3 linked regions of the Arabidopsis thaliana genome follow. The protein of the gene in region 1 purifies or fractionates together with the protein of each later gene. This does not show direct contact. Each region holds a gene or a part of one and is shown in the gene's direction. Other genes may lie near its edges.

The links. The genes of interacting proteins can lie anywhere in the genome.
Region 2: the proteins of AT2G16365 (region 1) and PCL1 purify together in Arabidopsis thaliana (affinity purification with mass spectrometry, with the first as the bait; one study listed by BioGRID). This does not show direct contact.
Region 3: the proteins of AT2G16365 (region 1) and TZP purify together in Arabidopsis thaliana (affinity purification with mass spectrometry, with the first as the bait; one study listed by BioGRID). This does not show direct contact.

What each region holds. Positions count from the first base shown.
Region 1 is NC_003071.7:7,072,690-7,080,053, forward strand, and holds AT2G16365 (F-box family protein), read left to right. Parts: upstream 1-1,672; 5' UTR 1,673-1,757; exon of another isoform or gene 1,758-1,913; intron 1,914-1,962; exon of another isoform or gene 1,963-2,205; 5' UTR 2,206-2,250; coding exon 2,251-2,967; intron 2,968-3,049; coding exon 3,050-3,696; coding exon of another isoform or gene 3,697-3,700; exon of another isoform or gene 3,701-3,960; intron 3,961-4,023; coding exon of another isoform or gene 4,024-4,140; intron 4,141-4,296; coding exon of another isoform or gene 4,297-4,431; intron 4,432-4,543; coding exon of another isoform or gene 4,544-4,621; intron 4,622-5,128; coding exon 5,129-5,591; intron 5,592-5,982; coding exon 5,983-6,492; 3' UTR 6,493-6,830; downstream 6,831-7,364. Other genes in the region: AT2G16340 (uncharacterized protein), read left to right, coding at 445-489, 556-795. UniProt on the Arabidopsis thaliana protein: Together with PCHL, regulates growth and development adaptation to the ambient environment by controlling negatively phytochrome B (phyB) dark reversion, a temperature-dependent thermal relaxation process during which phyB reverts from the active to the inactive state.
Region 2 is NC_003074.8:17,181,092-17,185,855, forward strand, and holds PCL1 (Homeodomain-like superfamily protein), read left to right. Parts: upstream 1-1,978; 5' UTR 1,979-2,156; coding exon 2,157-3,030; coding exon of another isoform or gene 3,031-3,128; exon of another isoform or gene 3,129-3,795; intron 3,796-3,797; coding exon 3,798-3,898; 3' UTR 3,899-3,960; exon of another isoform or gene 3,961-4,094; 3' UTR 4,095-4,263; downstream 4,264-4,764. Other genes in the region: AT3G46630 (DCL protein (DUF3223)), read right to left, coding at 47-217, 406-520, 918-1,255; AT3G46650 (UDP-Glycosyltransferase superfamily protein), read right to left, coding at 4,470-4,689. UniProt on the Arabidopsis thaliana protein: Transcription factor that is essential for the generation of the circadian clock oscillation. Is necessary for activation of CCA1 and LHY expression.
Region 3 is NC_003076.8:17,525,137-17,531,106, forward strand, and holds TZP (zinc knuckle (CCHC-type) family protein), read left to right. Parts: upstream 1-1,592; 5' UTR 1,593-1,723; exon of another isoform or gene 1,724-2,104; 5' UTR 2,105-2,124; coding exon 2,125-2,458; intron 2,459-2,540; coding exon 2,541-2,648; intron 2,649-2,757; coding exon 2,758-4,453; intron 4,454-4,533; coding exon 4,534-4,649; intron 4,650-4,732; coding exon 4,733-4,851; intron 4,852-4,948; coding exon 4,949-5,071; 3' UTR 5,072-5,469; downstream 5,470-5,970.

The sequences.
Region 1 (7,364 bases):
TATGTATGTTTATGTCATGTATGTTTAAACTTTGATATCATGTATGTTTCAAATTTTATGAATTGCAATAATTATTAAAATTTTTAAAAATCAAATGTTTATATATTTTTTAAAAACCTCAACTTAAGAGCTTACGATTGGACATTGCCAAACATTTAAACTTTTATCCAAACTTTTAACTTCAAAACTTTCAAATCAATTATAAAAATATTGCTAAGAATCTTTGCTAAGAATTCACCATTATAGATTCTCTAACAAATCTTGGCATAATCATTATTATTAAAAAAAACTTTTTGTAGAGTTCTTGTTTTTTCCTTTATAATTTACTTTTCTTTCTCTTTTTCTTTTTTTTTGGCAGAATTTAACAATTTTTTAATAAAAATTTAAAAATATAGCACTATATATGTATCAGTTAACTAACATAAAAGATAAATTAAATGACCAATGGAGGAGGTGACGGCTCCGACGATGGTGGCTCCAACGATGGTGGTAAGTTCGGCAACAGTGTGAATCTAGTGAGGACATGCGGTGGATCCGGCGAGTGGTTCTCGCGAGGATGGTGGCTTGGAGGACGGCGATGGTGGTGAGGACACTGGTAGCTCCGGCGAGGGCAGTGGTTCCAATGAAGATGGTGGCTTGGAGTTGGAGGACTGCGGTAGTGGTGATGAAGATGACGGCGGTAGTGGTGGTTCCGCCGATAGCGAAACTGTGGTGGTGATGGTTGTTGTGGTGGTGGTTAATGGTGATAGTAGGGAGGATAAAATTGTCATATTATATATTATACATCAACTCTAATATAAACTTTATTGTATAGGTTAGTTTCCTCATCATTTGCTATTGCAAGTTATTTCTCTCTCTAAAGATTTGATGTAATTTAATGCTTACTTAGCCATTTTGCACGACGCAAATAAACTAATACCGCAAAATTCGTGATTACGCAAATAACATTATCTAAATGGCCAAAAATAACTCATCCCATCTCTTCTTTTTTTTTTTTTTTTGGTCTAAAACTCATTCAATCTCTTCTACACTTGCATTTTCTAATTACTGAACAATAAACTGCTTCATACAACATAATTTTAAATATGTTTCGTTTGAGATAAATTGTTCGACATTACTAAAGATTTTGGCTGATCAAAAAATTTATCAACCTTTACCACGATTCAATTGCCTAGTCATAGGCACGAAGACTCTTGTTTTCGTTTACAAGCATTTGAATGCTAAAAGTACATAGCCGTCTTTGGAGACATGATCTAATAAAAAAAGATCTACGTTGACGTATAGAAAACACATTGATTAAAGAAAGATATCTCTTAAACTTTATGGGCAAGAAGAAGATATTTTTATAACCTGATAGACACACATGGCAAAATTAAAAATATCTAGATATATGTACAGTTAATGTTCTTGATATTATTGTGCCCATTTGCATTAGACATGGCACAAAAATGAACACGTCATTTTTCAACTAAAATAACTTTTCAACTTATTAAAAAATTCGAAGATAACTATAATTCGTCGATGCCTATACGAAATACGAGGTTCTTTTTAACACCTTCTTTGGACAATAGATATTGAGATTTACATCTTCTGCTCTTTCCGACAAAAGCCCATCTCTTCTGTCTTATTTTCTTCTGAAGGTTCTGTTTTTTTTTTTTTTTTTTTTTTTTTTCTCATCCAAATAAGTACTTGAGAGAATTATAAGAAAATTCGTACTTCGTTTCTTTGGACAGTGTACCTCCACGTATTCGTCTCTGGTAATAATCTCCATCACAAATCTCTTTTTTTTTTCTTTTGTGTGACTCTTGTTTCTGGTGGTACAGTTTGCTCATCGATTGAATCGATTTGTATTTCTTCCACACAAGAAAAATGGATTTGTACTTGTTTCTGGATTTTATATATCTGGTGTAATTGTAAGTATAAATTTGTGGAATTAGCTTCTTTTTTTTTTTTTTTTTTTTGGAGAATTTACTGAAAAAGAATGTGATCCTAGTTTATCAAAAAAAGAATAAGAATGTGATCCTCCTCACATTTGTTTGATGAAACTTTTTGTGTTCTTTAGGTTTAATTCTGAGGTTGTGTGAAATTTGGTGAAGAGAATTTTGAGATCATAGTAATTATCCACTTGCTTGATGCTCATGAGCTCTAGTTTAGTATTGTGTTTGTTTTGAATTATGATTGAGATAAAGGATATTTACTTCTCAGGTGATTTAATCAAAGCCTCTGGAGAAGATCTGTAGGTACGTACAAATGTCTGAACATGTTATGGTTTTGGGTAAAGGTAACAAAGGAATCAGCAAGAATTCTTCAGTCAATCCATATGAATCAGCTTGGTTAGGTCGTTGGACTCAGTCAGGTAGTGAAGTGAAGTTTCATGATGGTGAGACCAATTGCTCTAAGCAGTTGATAAGACCTGAAGATGAGAATCATGGAGTCGAGGTCTTGCCGTTTCCTATGTTCAAGGTTTCTCAAAAGAGAGAGACTACTACTACTACTACTACTAAACCGTCTTTCCATGAAGATGTTGGTTCAAGCTCGAGAGCTATGGTTAATAGAATGCCCTGGATGTATCCGCAAGGAGAGAACTTCAGTTCTAGTAACCGTCTTGACTTCCCAATTCAAGAAAAGACTACTCAAAACTTGCTAGAGTTGATAAGACCGGTGAGGATTTACGCAACGGTTGATTCTGTTAACTTGCCTAAAGAAGATAGTCATCAGTTATTGAAGGGGTCTACAGTTTCCATGAAACTGAAAGGGAAGATTTTTGGTGGATATCTTGATCTGTTTCCTAATCAAGATCACTCCCACAATAGAGGAGGAGTAAGGCTGCAGTCTCTAGAAAGCTCAAAGGATACTCAAGAAGATGGACCGAGAAAAAATGAATCATCGGCAGAGACTAATACCTTAGAAATGGATAGACTTCAGACTATACATCTTTCCGGCTCCATTTCTTCGTCATCAACTAAGGTATTGTTCAATCGACATATCTACATATCTTTACTCAAAATGTTGAAAGTTGTGATTGTGAAAGATGTTGAAAATTCCGCAGGGAAAAGGAATAAAAGGCTACTCAGCCATTCCAAGGACCGAAATACCTGACATGAATGAAGAACCACCTCTTGTTCCGGATAGAGAGAATTCAGTAGATGGACATCAGGGAGAAACAAGCAACTCGGCTACTCAAAGTATGAATGTGGAACACTTTCTGTCCAGAGATTGCAAACGTGTGCGGTTGGAACCAGAAGTAGAAGCCAGCAGTAGATGGGTCAAGCGTCTGAAGACAAGCCCCTCAGATTCCAGTGAAACCAAGAGCATGATGAAGATGAAAGAAGCATCACTGGGAGAAAAAGAGAACAATAATCTATTCCTTGAGATCTTGAAGTCCGGAATCAACAATCTCCAACCGAGAAATCAAGAACCCGTCGTTTCACAGAGCAATGATCTGAGACAAGGAGGAGATGACATTACACTTCTGCATCCATGGATCCAGAGGTGGTGCAAGAAGAAAACTACATCAACAGATCAACCAACAGGGCAAGAAGCTAGCTTTGAGCCAGAGAGTCACAAGGAGTTCGAGAAGAAACAGTATCCGAGTATTGCAGCCATGGCATTGATGGGGAAGGCTCTGAGCGGTTTAAACCCATATGGTCTTAGAAAGACCAACTCTCTCATGGTTTGGAATGCAAGGGATTTGAGGTAGGAAAACAAAACCATCATCCTCATCTTCCCTTGTTTATCATTACAACGTAAAGTCAAGAACATCAAACAGAACTAGCTAGCAGGCTTGCTACGATCAAATATTTTGACAGGTTCTACCTTATATGTCAGTCTGACTATTCTTATAATAGTTTCAGTTTATGTATGAATACCTTGTTTGCATCATAAATATTCCCTTTTAATCGTTACCGCATCAGTATTTTGATTTGTTACTGGCCTTACAAAAATGATAGCATAATTCAAAGTGGTAAGTAAATCTGTTCTCTCGAAAATCTTGATTCAAGGGAAAAAGAGTAACATTTAACATTAAGTCAAGCAAGTAGCCCTAGTGTTAATCTGCTGACTTGAGTGAGTAGAAACCATCCTTATCGTGCCTTTCACCATCAAATCTCTTATCGCCTTTCTAGCAAGCGACCCATTGATCTACGACAGAAACCAATACAACATTTTACACATGATCAAATTCTTGAGCACAATAAAATTTCTCTTTCAATAACTCGATAATCTTGAACCTATCCCAACACATTATAAAGAGCTAATTCAGTGAAAAGAGTGGAGGTAGAGAGTTAGTTAGTTTACCCGAAGACGGTCAGAGAGAATCGAAGGAGTGATCAATTTGAACTTAGGAGCTTCAGACATAAGCTTGTCGTAAGTTGCTTGATCGAACAGAACCATGTTGTTCACCTTCTCCTTTTGCTTTCCTTTGCTCCACTTCTGTTGAAATCAAGAAATGAGAAACGTAAATAAAACAAAACCCACCAGAAACCAAATCAAAGAAACTTACTGATCAAGTAAAAAAAAAAGTGATTGTGATTTGGTAAAGGACCTTCTTTTTCTGCTTTCCGCCACCGGATTTGGCGGGTTTAGAGGATGGTGGTGGGACTTTGTCCTTCTTTGGTGCCTGGAATCAGTCAGAGAAACCACACACGAAATCTGTATGCGACGAATAAAATCAACCATCCGAAATACCTAAAACCTATATAAGCCAAATATTTTTATTTTTATTTTGGTAAGGTTTGTTCGATTTTTTTTTGGTAGGGTCTTGTTCAATTTTATGTAGTAAAATATATTTTTAAATTGTATATTAACTTTATGTTTTATTATATTCCAAACTGGGTTATAACTTATAATTAAATGTAAAAATTTAAATATTTGTGAAATGGAGAAAAGTAAAAATTTATCATGACAGACGTCTTCATTTCCCTTAATCTTAATCTTAACATAGTAAAAATCTCTTTCTTCAATTTATCTATATATAAGATTTTACTTTAGTTATGTTTTAAAATAATAATATACTCTTAATTGGGTTATAAATGTGAAATCTATATATTTTTAAAAGGGAGCAAAATCAAATCTTATTGTGATAAATATATATTTCTTCATTATATATCCTTAACTTTTAATTCTTCAGTTTTACATACAGATCTTTACGGTGGAATTTAACGATGGCAGATTGGCCCTTACTTCCGAATGACTTACTAGAACTAATCATGGGTCATCTTGAGACATCTTTCGAGATTTTCCTCTTCCGTTCCGTCTGCAGCTCATGGCGGTCTGTTGTACCTCCACTAGATCATTCCCGCTGCTTAGGTATCAAAACTCATGATATATCGTTCAATGTCGGCTTTTCGTTCAACGGCCGACCAACGAATGAATATTGCACACTAAAAAAGATTCCAATATATCTCGTGAAATTCTGGACTCCGTTTGGTGATGATTATCTATTGGCAGAGATGCGTGAACGAAATGATGGGGAACCGAAGTTATTGTTGTCGCCCTTGTCATCTAATGGTATCAAGTATGGAATGGGAATAAATAAAGTGTTGTTCAACTCTCTTACCTCACCAATTATCCCATTTGGACAATACTACGAGGTTGGTGTTCAAAAGCTCATATTAGTTTTTGAAACTTTTATCTTTTCTTTTTGATAATCATTTAACCACCACTTTTTAGTTAGTAGGGTGCTTGAGATTGTTACTTATTTCATTGTCTAACTGATTTTGAGGTAAATCAGCTAATGTTTGGAATTCTTTGTGGTATTAATCACGATTCTGTAAATAAATATATACAAGTCACACTATTCATAACTAAGATATATAGGATTTAAACTGATATCAAACCCATCGTATTAGCAGCATGTAATCTTATCTCTAATAAATTCTCTCTAACCTTGCTAATTAATAAATAAGACCGCAAAGTTGGTCCTGTTATTATTATCATTATTTTCCTTGTGTCTTCAATTTAGCCCCATAATCTTCGATGCAGATAACCTACATTGAGAAGCGACCCAGTGAATACCGCTTTGGATTTCCCTATAAACTAGAGTGGGTGGAGATTACCGAGAGAGTTGAATTTCTTAAACTGGATAGTGAAGATAGCAGAGATTTTGCGGTGCTTTTTGCTGGAAGAATGTGCAATTTGGTGATGTATAGAAGCCGTAACATGAGTTGGACTCAAGTTGTGGAGCATCCTGAAAAGTATGCATATCAAGATTTGGTTGCATTCAAAGGAAAGTTTTATGCTGTTGATTCAAGTGGAAGGGGACGGGTCTTTGTTGTCGAACTTTCTTTCGAAGTTACGGAGATCCCCTCAGTCGGAGGATCGCAACAGTCTTCTAAAGAAAGTCTGGTGCAGTCAGGCGAGGAGTTGTTGCTAGTGCAACGGTTCACACCTGTTGGGCGGCGTTATGATGAATATATATATATACATGGTTCAGAGTGTTTAGACTTGATGAAGAAAGAGGAAAGAGAAAGTGGGTTCAAGTTAATGACTTGAACGACCGAGTGATCTTTCTTGGAGCTCAGACGAATCTCTGCTGCTCAGTACATAAGCTCCCAGGTGCAAAGGAGAATTGCATTGTGTTCATTGAATCAAATGATTGTTTCATCATTGACAATGACTCAGTCCTTTTGTTTGACTTAAAAACCAGAAGAACTAGTACTGCGTTTAATGAATGCAAAGGCTACATGGGCGTGTTCGGCGCAAATCTTGAATCTTTATTGTCTTGTGGACTTGTGACCATTCGAGACCCAACGAAAAGCTTTGATTTCTGTTATGATTATAAATATTAGTCTTTTTTTTCTTCTGGATTCCAATATGACAAAACATCTATTAATATATGTTTCGAAACGCTATTATTATATTTAATATATATTATTTGTATAGTTTTCTGATTATATTCTACCAAACAAGGTGCGGTAATCGTCTAGTTTTCATGTTATTTGGGAATCATTCATTGCAATGACAAATTTTTTGTAAGAGCATTGATCAGGTCATACGAAAAAAGCTCCTTTTATTCTGATGCATACAACTTTTTTTGTATTCTGATGCATACACACGTACACAAAAACACATACAAACATGAAGTGATGAAACATAGATAACTTTTTTTATGATAAAAATGAAGATGGCCAATTGCTACATTCATAATAACAGGTGCACGTACGGAATCCATATAGTCCCACGCAACGACCATAATCGTTAGGCCCGACGTATGCCTTCCTACAGTACGCTTTGCAATTATCACATGGTACACCCTTGTTCTCGCGTTGGCACATATAAGAACCTTAAACCCACGGAAGAAAAGAACAAAAAAAAATTTGTTAGACATTTTACAATTTGTTCAAGCGTCACCATTTCCTTGGCCA
Region 2 (4,764 bases), on another chromosome or scaffold:
TTATGAGAATTTGCTGTGATGATGAGTGGGACAGTTATACAGATTTTTAGCTACTAGCACGCTTAAAATGTTCACGAATAAACCTCTCAGCGTGAGACGGGTACTTATCTCGAACATAGGCTCGAAGACACTTTTGGTACGAGAAATCTATCCATCCACCATCTGTTCTCACAACAAAGAGGCATCTTGAGTGCCTGAATTGTGGATGCCGATCAACCTGCCAGTAACAAAGTAGCACACTCATAAGTCCATGCACATAAAGCAAATGAAGATTTATGGATAGAGCATGTAAGTAAGTCATATATCTATCATGGTGATTCGAGAACTATGCACAATACCTCAAGATAATTTCTATATGAGTAGAGCTTAAAGAGAGAGATATCGGGTTAGCTCGAATTTACGTACCATTATAAAATCAAGACCACAACCAATTTTGTCTTTGGAATATGGGTGATAAGGAAGAAGCTTTTCCATGACAATTTTCTCATCCTCAAAATCTAAGCGTTCTCCATCCAAATACCTGCTTACCAAAAAGGAAAAAAAAAACAGCTCACTAGAACTGCAAAAAGTAATCTACACAAAGAAAACAGCAAGTATGCTCTGAAGCTAGCTTCAAATGTCAATAGTTCACTAGAAAAAAGTTGTAATTTGCCTAATGTTCAAGTAAACTGAAGATATATACAAGAGCATCTCTCACTTTCTGCAATGACCACTATAATCCTATCATCCATTGCTAAAGGATCCTCAACAATAAGCCAAGAATATCATCATGTGTAATAGTCACCTCAAAAGGCCATATGGTGTCTCTATGTTGTTTGATTAAGCTACTGGAAGAAGCTATGAGCCTATACCTTCAATACTAATCCAAACATGGAACAGCTATTGAAGAACAATCAGCAAGAATTTGAAGAAATTACCTATCGGAATGAAGAATTTCTTTAGCGAGAAGAGAAATAGGTTCAATATCTCGAAGAATCTCAGCCTCTAGATTCTTCCATTTCCGATAATCAGGATCTTCATAACGCCAGCTATTATCAACAACAGGCGATGTCACGTTCATCGCCGCCGCGCCGGATCCCTCCACCGGAGAAACAGAATCATTATTCTCGTAAAACTGTGGTCTATCAGCAAGAGAACACAACAAACGCCGACGGTGACTGAGAATTCCACCAGCTACGATACCAACTTGATGACGATGGTTGAGAAATCCGTTGCGGAGAAGCGGAAGCGTTCTGAGAAGAAGTAGCGAGGTCATCGACCACAATCAAGGAGTAATATAGACAATAATAACGAATAAAACCCTAATCTGTACTAATCACTCGAAGAAGATGAAAAATTGGGGAAATCTCAGAGAATCAGAAATTTGAGAAGAAGATAACGTTTCGTCAGTTTGTGAAGTTGGGGCATCGAACCCGTGACGTTGAAGAAGCTAAACAGAGTAACTAAACCTCTCTGAGCCTTTCCACAATAATTATTTTCATTTTCTTAAAAGTTAGGTGCCAGCCAATCTGTGCCGTTAGATTGATCTTTATATGCTTCTATAAATATCTAAAACAACAATCCAACGGTGGAAAGATCACATTGCGTGTCAGTACTGTAGATACTCATCACCGAATCTTTCTCCTCTTTTCACTCTCCAGCTGGCCGAACCCACCGGTTTTGCCCACTTTCTCTCTAGGCCCGCAAACACAACTTGCTAAGTCGGTAGTAATTTACTGAAAAACCCTCACAAATAGCTGACTTGGCTCTTTTCACTCCACGTGGCTCCATCTTACGTGCCTAGTTTGGTAATTTCAATTTCAATCACCTAGATCGTAACTATTGATACATAATGTGAACTGATGACGTGTTGAAAAGAGATTGGTTAGGTCGGTTTGAAAAGATATTTAGAAGATCTAAAATATCTAGCTAACTCGTCCACGTTGGAATTAAAATATTGCGCTTTTTCCTGGAAAAGAAAAATATAAAACAAGTGATAATCTTCTCTTTTTCGAAATTGTTTCACTTCTGAAAAAAAAAAAAAAAAAAATTGTTTGCTCATCATCTTCACAAACCAAACTTCTCTTCTTCTCCGATCTCAGATTTGAATTTTTATCGATTTTGAGCTTCGAAGAGCTCAATCTCTAACTGAATTTCGAGAAATTAGAGAGTTTGAAATGGGAGAGGAAGTACAAATGAGCGATTACGATGTTTCCGGCGACGGAGATAGGGTTTCTGAATGGGAGATGGGATTACCAAGCGACGAAGATCTAGCATCTCTTTCTTACTCTCTGATTCCACCGAATTTGGCGATGGCGTTTAGTATCACACCGGAGAGAAGCCGTACGATTCAGGATGTGAATCGTGCATCGGAGACGACGCTCTCGTCGCTACGTGGTGGATCTTCAGGTCCAAATACCTCGTCGTCGAATAATAACGTGGAGGAGGAAGATCGAGTTGGATCTAGCAGTCCTGGATCGGATTCGAAGAAGCAAAAGACATCAAACGGTGATGGAGATGACGGTGGCGGTGTGGATCCGGATTCGGCGATGGCGGCGGAAGAAGGAGATTCAGGAACTGAAGATCTATCTGGGAAAACACTTAAACGACCGCGTTTAGTGTGGACACCGCAGCTACACAAGAGATTCGTTGACGTTGTAGCTCACTTAGGGATCAAAAACGCTGTTCCGAAGACGATTATGCAGCTGATGAACGTTGAAGGATTAACTCGTGAGAACGTTGCGTCTCATCTTCAAAAGTATAGGCTTTACCTCAAAAGGATGCAGGGATTGACTAATGAAGGTCCCTCTGCTTCGGATAAGCTCTTCTCTTCAACACCTGTTCCTCCACAGAGCTTCCAAGATATCGGTGGCGGTGGCGGTAGCAGCGGTAATGTTGGAGTGCCGATTCCGGGGGCGTATGGAACGCAACAGATGATGCAGATGCCAGTTTATGCACATCATATGGGTATGCAAGGATATCATCATCAAAATCATAATCATGATCCTTATCATCAGAATCATCGTCATCATCATGGAGCTGGTGGAAATGGTGCGTTTGAGTCAAATCCTTATATGATGCAGCAGAATAAGTTTGGATCCATGGCTTCTTATCCTTCTGTTGGAGGTGGAAGCGCAAATGAGAATTAAAAAGAGTCTATAGATGGATTCAATGGGGGAGGAAGAGATAGGTGAGCTTGTTATTGCTCGTGGAACTGATAATTATTGTCAAGTTTCTGTTTTTTTAAGTACAGTACAGTTATAATTCTTACTCGATTTGATCGAAATTTTCATCAAGTTTCTGTCTTTTACTATAAATGGTATACAATAAAGTCTTAATAATCACTTGTTTGGTGATGTTGACAGAGTTAATATAATCAACTAAGTTGAATTTGATTTTGAGATTCTTGTGCTATGTTGAAATGTTATTGAGAATTAAGTATCAAAATTGCTCTCATGTGACTTGAGACTTAATGTAATCCAGATCATGTTTGATTCATCTTCGGAATTATATGGTGGTTTTGAAAACCATGTGTTTAATTTTCTCTTCGGGACTAGGTAACTAACACTGTGAGTTATGTCAAATCCAAGAGAGCATATGTGTCATGTGGCTCGACATTTTCTTGTGTACTCTTTTTGCAGAAGTGATAGTGTCATGTTATTTTGGTTTTGGTTTCCTCATTGGGAAAGTCTTGTGATGTTTTTTGATCTAGACAAGATATTACCTGTGCAAGCTTTTAGGTAGAATGAGCAGTTTCTCTTTTATGTTTGGGTTCTGCATCTTTTGCAGGTCTTGATCATATTTGATTGTTGTTACAGGTTCTTGGTGTCTACAAAATTTCTTATCTTTTGCGGAGTTTTCCACCGCAAAGTCCCAAATTGCATCTGTTCAGGAGAGGATCATACAAAGTATCATGTAGAAGCTAAACCAAGAGAAGACTGCAGACAAATTTCATATACTCATTTTTCTATCTTGTAAGAGGTAAGTCCCTTTGTTTTATTTGTCTGCAGACTTCTTAAAGTGGTAATCAAGAGAGTGAATTGTTTATTTCTGTGAGAGATGGCGTCAGACACAAACTTTATTTTAAAAATTTATAAACCAATCAAATGTTTCAGAAGAAGCCATTTTAATACAATCAAGTATTCCTCATATGATGACCTTACGAGTGATTGGAGAGCCACATACCAATGAACGTCCAACAAAAGGAAGAAAGTGACATTTTAACAAAAGCAAAAGTCTTTCCAATGTTTCTTGCTGACATAGGTTTCAGCCACTTAGGGTTCTACTTTGAGATTTAGATAATAATTTCAAGACCTTTTCATCTCCAATATATGTTCATAATTTTCATTAATATATGATTGTTTCTCTGCACATCATACATTCAGTGACAACCTTATCTTCAGACCTTGATTATCTTATTTAATAGTAGCGAGATTCTTCTAGAATAGAAAAGTACATAGATTTCTTAACATCCACACAAGTAATTGTCTTCATAGAGTCATCATGAAGTGTTCAAACTCCTTTAGCGAGTTGTGTAAAGAACCTCCACCTCTAACAGAGGCTCTCAGCTCCTCCTTCAAAGTGACGGCTCTCTTTCTCATTTCCTCTCCTTCTTCGAAAACCGTTAACCTCTTCACAGCTCTCTCGACCGCTCCTCTTTCTAGATCACCCTCCACTTGAATCCCAATTTTCCAAACACACTCCAAGTACCTTGCGTTCACCCGAAAATGGCCTGCAAATCACCGGAACTCCTTCGCTGATCATGTTTTCTAGTATCGAGTTGCA
Region 3 (5,970 bases), on another chromosome or scaffold:
GTCCGTGATGTTTCAACCCCAACTGTTTCATTGTTTTCTTTTTTTTTCCCTTCTTCTTCTTCTTTATTTTTTGGATCATAAGAAATTAAGGAATCTATTGCATAAGGTTGGCATGTTGTAGATATATAAATTAATTAGTCTCCATATATATATATATATATCTAGGTTATATCTTCAAATTTGTTGTTGCAGACGAAAAATACCTACAACATTCAAAACTTCAGTTAATTGTTTAAGAAAAACACAGATATGACCAAAAAAATAAATATAGAGATAATTAATAGAATAATCTTATCTACATATATATTTATTAAAATAATCGTTATAGAAATGTTCTTTTGTTCAATTACAAAAAGAAGAAAAATATTTATTTCGTTTTATAAATTAAAATATTTATTAATATTCTCTAAATCTCGCATGGTTATTGAACTACAACTGTAAAATACAATTACAAAAAGAAGTAAAATCTTTTGACGACCACCTACAAAATGATACGACGGAGACACACAAAGCGAGTTCAACTATTAACATTAAGCTCAGATTATTGAACCAAACTAGAATAACTCAAATAAGATATGTTTTCGATTCGGCAATAAAATTTGATTCGAGATATTTTAGACCAACTAATTTACTATCCGACAACTGAGTTTGGGGTAAAAACCCGTAATTTATTAAAAACATTGAAATAAATAAAATCATTTGATATTTCTATTTTCTCATTGTTCATTAATTGTAACATGAAAGCTCATAATCTTCATTTTATAGACTCAAATCAAATGCTCTTTCAAACTAACCCAACAATGTAGTAAAAAAAAAAAAAAAACCAACCCAAAATTGGAAATCATACCATGTTTTAGATAGTCAAAAACAAGGCTAAAGAACGGAAAAATCCAAAAAAAAGAAGAAGTTATTTATGAAAAAAAAAGATAGACCGACGTTAATGGAAAGAAGAAAAGACCCAAACATGTGGCCTATATACCCATGGGACTTATACATGATTAAGATTGGCATATACATCAATGTTTTTCTTGGTAAAACATATACATCAATGTTATGCCATCAACATTAAATTATTTTAAATAGAATTTTTTAAAATATATGATATTAATTTCTTCTAAGCTAAGTGAAAAAAATATCAAAGCAGCCGTACAGTTACAGAATCAAACAAGAACTTGACAGCGTAAGAAGACATAACTCATCATACTTTCTTTTTTTTTCAAACAAAAACTACATTTACATATTTACGTAATTTTCATTATTATTATAAAAAATTTCTAGGCTCATAAGATTTTTAGGATAAAAGAGAAATTTGCAAAGAAGAAAACTAGTGTATTAATTTATGTATATGTTTGCATTTGAATGATAAGAAAATATCTCGCATGACTACAAATCTTTGGATATCATTATCTTACTATTTATACACTAACTTCTATATATCATTTTATCGTTTTATAGCCAAAATCAGAAATATTGCAAATCTTATTTTTTAATATGGTTTTTAATATTTGAGAGGCGGGAAATGTATGGAGAAGAATGTGTACACGTGGCGGTCTGGGGACCTTGTAACAAAAATGCAATTAAAAAGCTTTTGAAGCAAGTTAGCCATAGCCGCTTGGCGCTGTGTCGTCTTCGTCTTCTTCTTCCTTCTTCTTCTTCATCTCTCTCTTTCGTTTTCTCAGTAAGTGAAGGATTTGCAGAAGTAGATGATTGAATATCCATGGAGGTAATTTATGGTTTCTAATTTGGTTTTAATTCTTTGAAAGTTTGATTTTTTTATGTTATGAGATTTCTGGGTTTTTGATTCTCAAGTTTTTATGGATTTTAGGGTTTTCAGTAATTGCAAAACTTTATTCTGAAGATTGAGTGATTGCTTGAGATATAGGTTATCAATTTCCTTTATCCCTAATATTCCAAATCTCGAAATTTCAAATTACTTCTCTAAGTTGTTCTATGAGTTTATGATCTTAGAAAATAAATCTAGTGTTTTGATTACTCTGTTTTGCATATTTTTGATGGGTTTGTGTTACTTGTTTTGTAAGCTAAGTGATATTCATTTTTGTGGTTGAGGTCAATAGTGTATGGATTCTGGTTCTTTATGTCTCAGGGTGATTGGTTTCAGGAGGTATGGGAGATGGAGATGAGCAAAGTAAAGAGTTAGGAGGAGTTTCGTCTTCGAGTCGTCGTTGTTCTTCCGGTACTGCTGGTGCTGCAAATGCAGAAGCAAGAATGAAGTTTGCTGCTGTTGATGCTATAACAGAATTAGTGTGGTCTCCTAGCAACGGTCTAAGCTTAAGATGTGCAGATATCAGTTTCACGGGAAAGGCAAAATTACTCTCTCCTAACTTCTTTGATATAGGACTAACTAACATGGCGATTCACTCAAATAGCACAAGTATTGAAGACCAAGAAGATCACGTAGATGTCGAATTGAGAAACCGAGATCAAGTGAACCAAGCAAGTAATGAAATGAATAGACCATTTTCAGGTTGCTATATGATAAGTTATCTTTTTTGATAATGAGAGTTCTTGTGTGTTTGCAGTGATTGGTGGTTCTGTTGAGGATATGAAACCTGAAATGGTTGAGGATAAGGTTGAAACCAATGATGATATAAAGAATGAAGAAGCAGGATGTTCCAAAAGATCTTCAGGTAAAATGGTTATATCAAGTTAATAATGTTTGCGTCTCTTCCATTTATGACAACTATGGATTTTGAGTTGGTTTCTTCGTCTTTTGTGCTTGTTTTGGTTATCGAGTAGATAGTCCGAAAGCTATGGAAGGAGAAACCAGAGACTTGTTGGTTAATGAACAGTTGAGGATGGAAAGTGCTGGATCTCAAGAAGAAGGGGATAAGGCGCATAATAGAGTTGATCGTTTAGAATCAATGGATGAGAACAACCTCGCAACTCTTGCTGTTGTAGCATGTGAAGGTAAAGGGGACTATTTGCCGGAGGGTGAGGCTGGACCTAGTGGTTCCTACAGGCGTCGTGAGAAAGCAAAAGGGAAAGAGAAAGCTTTATCTGATGAAAACTTTGGTGGTGATGGTGAAGATGAGGATGAGGAGAGTTTTGGTAGTGTAGAAAGTTGCAATAGTGCGGGTTTGCTCTCAAGGGGAAAGAAAAGACCAGGCTTTGAGGAGCAGCTGATTTTTGGAAGCAAACGGCTCAAAACGTTAAATCAAGAATGTTTGGGGTCAACTTCAAAGCTCAAGCAAGATAGTTCCTTCATGAATTGGATATCAAATATGACTAAAGGAATCTGGAAAGGTAATGAAGAAGACAATTCTCCTTTTGTAGCTCTTACCACCACCTCAAATGCTAATGGTCATGGCCAAGTCAATGCCATCGTTGACCAACAACAATTGAGTCCATGCTGTGTGAAGGAAAATAGTGGATGCAGAAACACCGGTTTCCAGTCTTTTTTCCAGTCTATATATTGTCCGAAGAAACAAAGTCAAGATGTCGTCGACATGGATTTCCCGAATGATGTTAATGCTGCTCCTTTGCAGGAACTTCCCTGGATTCCTGAACATTGCGACATTTCCAAAGGGGATGACTTGTCTTCATCTGGTAATGAGATTGGTCCAGTGGCTGAACCCAACATTTCATCAGGAAAAGTTGTATTTAATCAGACAAGCAAAACACAGTCTTCAGAGAACAAACGTGAGGACAAAGAGCCAAACATCTCGTTGATGTCTCTTAGTAAGTCTAAGCCAAATGAAGAGCCAAAAACATGCGGTGAAGCTGATGGAAAGGTTAGTCCATGTTTAACCAACAGAAACTCTGGTCTTAAAAGTTTGTGGATTAGTCGGTTTTCTTCTAAAGGTTCGTTCCCTCAGAAAAAGGCAAGTGAAACGGCTAAAGAGGCCAATGCTTCAGCCTCAGACGCAGCTAAAACCCGTGATTCACGGAAAATGCTGGCAGACAAGAATGTTATAAGACCCAGTATCAGCTCGGTAGATGGGCCCGATAAACCGGACACTGTCCTTCCTATAGTTTCGTCAATGAGAATAGAGTCTTCAGAAGCAATGGCTTCTTTGTTTGCTAGAAGATTAGAAGCAATGAAAAGCATCATGCCCTCAGGTTCTTTAGCTGAGAATGCAGAGGAGGAACAGAGGGATCTAATTTGTTTCTACTGCGGTAAAAAGGGTCATTGTTTACGGGATTGTTTGGAAGTAACTGATACTGAGCTCAGAGATCTAGTACAGAACATAAGTGTGCGGAATGGAAGAGAAGAAGCGTCAAGTCTATGCATTAGATGTTTTCAGCTTAGTCACTGGGCTGCAACATGCCCGAATGCTCCCCTGTATGGTTCAGGAGCTGAAGGTAGAGCTATGAAGAACGCTTTAGCTTCTACCTCTGGCATGAAGCTGCCCATAAGTGGTTTCACAGACGTACCAAGGGCGGTCTTTGATGCTGTTCAAGTGCTTCGCCTGAGCCGCACAGACGTTCTCAAGTAAGATCTAATTCACACCTAAAAGACTGTTTCCCTTGTCACATTATGAGGCTTTAACATCTTTTGACATTTCATTTCAGATGGATAAACACCAAGAAGTCTGTATCGGGTCTCGAAGGGTTCTTCTTGCGGTTAAGGCTCGGGAAATGGGAAGAAGGGCTTGGAGGAACAGGGTATTATGTAGCTCGCATAGATGGTTGGTACACTTTCATATAAATCAATACTCAAACTCGCGTATTTCTCGAATATTTGCAACTGAAATATGTTTGTTTTAACCAGGGGACACAGAGGGACAAAGCTCAAGGAGACATTCAGAGAAAAGCTTAATTTCAGTTAAGGTTAAAGGTGTGACTTGCCTTGTTGAGTCTCAGTTTATCTCAAACCAAGACTTTCTTGAGGTATATAATAAAATTTGACCAATTATGTCAAAAGTTTTGAAATTTGCTAATTTGCTAAGTTTTCATCTGAATATTTTGCATTAATTTATCTGAGCAGGAGGAGTTAAAGGCCTGGTGGCAGAGCGCGGGGAAAAGTGCCAGAACAAGCGGCTACGACGGCATCCCGTCGGCGGAGGAACTTAGTCGGAAAATTCAGCAGAGAAAAATGTTAGGCTTTTAGGACATTTGTTCAAGTAGATAAATGTTTTTAAGTTATAGGTTTTACGATTACCCGTGTATTTTTTCGGTTGAAAAGGAGAGTGTAAATTTCTTAGTTCAGAGGGCATCGAATGTCTCAAACCATACAACAATCTAAAACTGGATGTCCAATCTATTTAGATTTGCGAGTTTTATTCGGATCTTTATGTCTCGATGACTATTTATTGTGATTGTTAAGCTTGTATAGTCTATGTGTGAAGGATCAAAGTATCATGGAAGAACAAAGTACATTGATATCAAGAGAGATATTGTGGTGTCTTGCTCATTTTTCATGAGGTATGTTTGATAGAAGTTGATATTTGTCCTAAATGAACTAATCTGTTTTGACATCATATTTATGTTTGGTGTTTTATATCAAAACATATTTTGGATTTAGTGTGCAATGGTCATTGTTGTTTGGCATACAGCTTGCACAATATTGTTTTTAAAGTGTCACCAAATTGAAAATTGGTTCACTCACATGAGCAATCGCTTTAGAAATTTTAGTGCAAGCTGAGACAAAGTATGATGGTTTGGTGCTATAGGAGTTTGTCTTGTAATGCTTGTCAGTGTTGCCTTGACATGAAGTAAAGTAGATGAGGTAAGCCTATTGAAATACCGATCATAATTTATCAAAAATCATGAATATTTTGTAGAGCTAGATAAGTACACTAGATCACTATTCACTACCACTTAATTATTTGCTTGGATAGTTCATAGTTGTATTAGCCTGAACTTTGCAGTAATTAAAAATTCATCAAATCGACCTTCAAACTTTTGAGAATTAGACTTAATAAATTCTGGAAAATGATACATTGTTGGGTTATCTAGCTATTTTTTTTATTTAATATGTTTATTTTCTCTTGGCCTTATTTTCCAAAT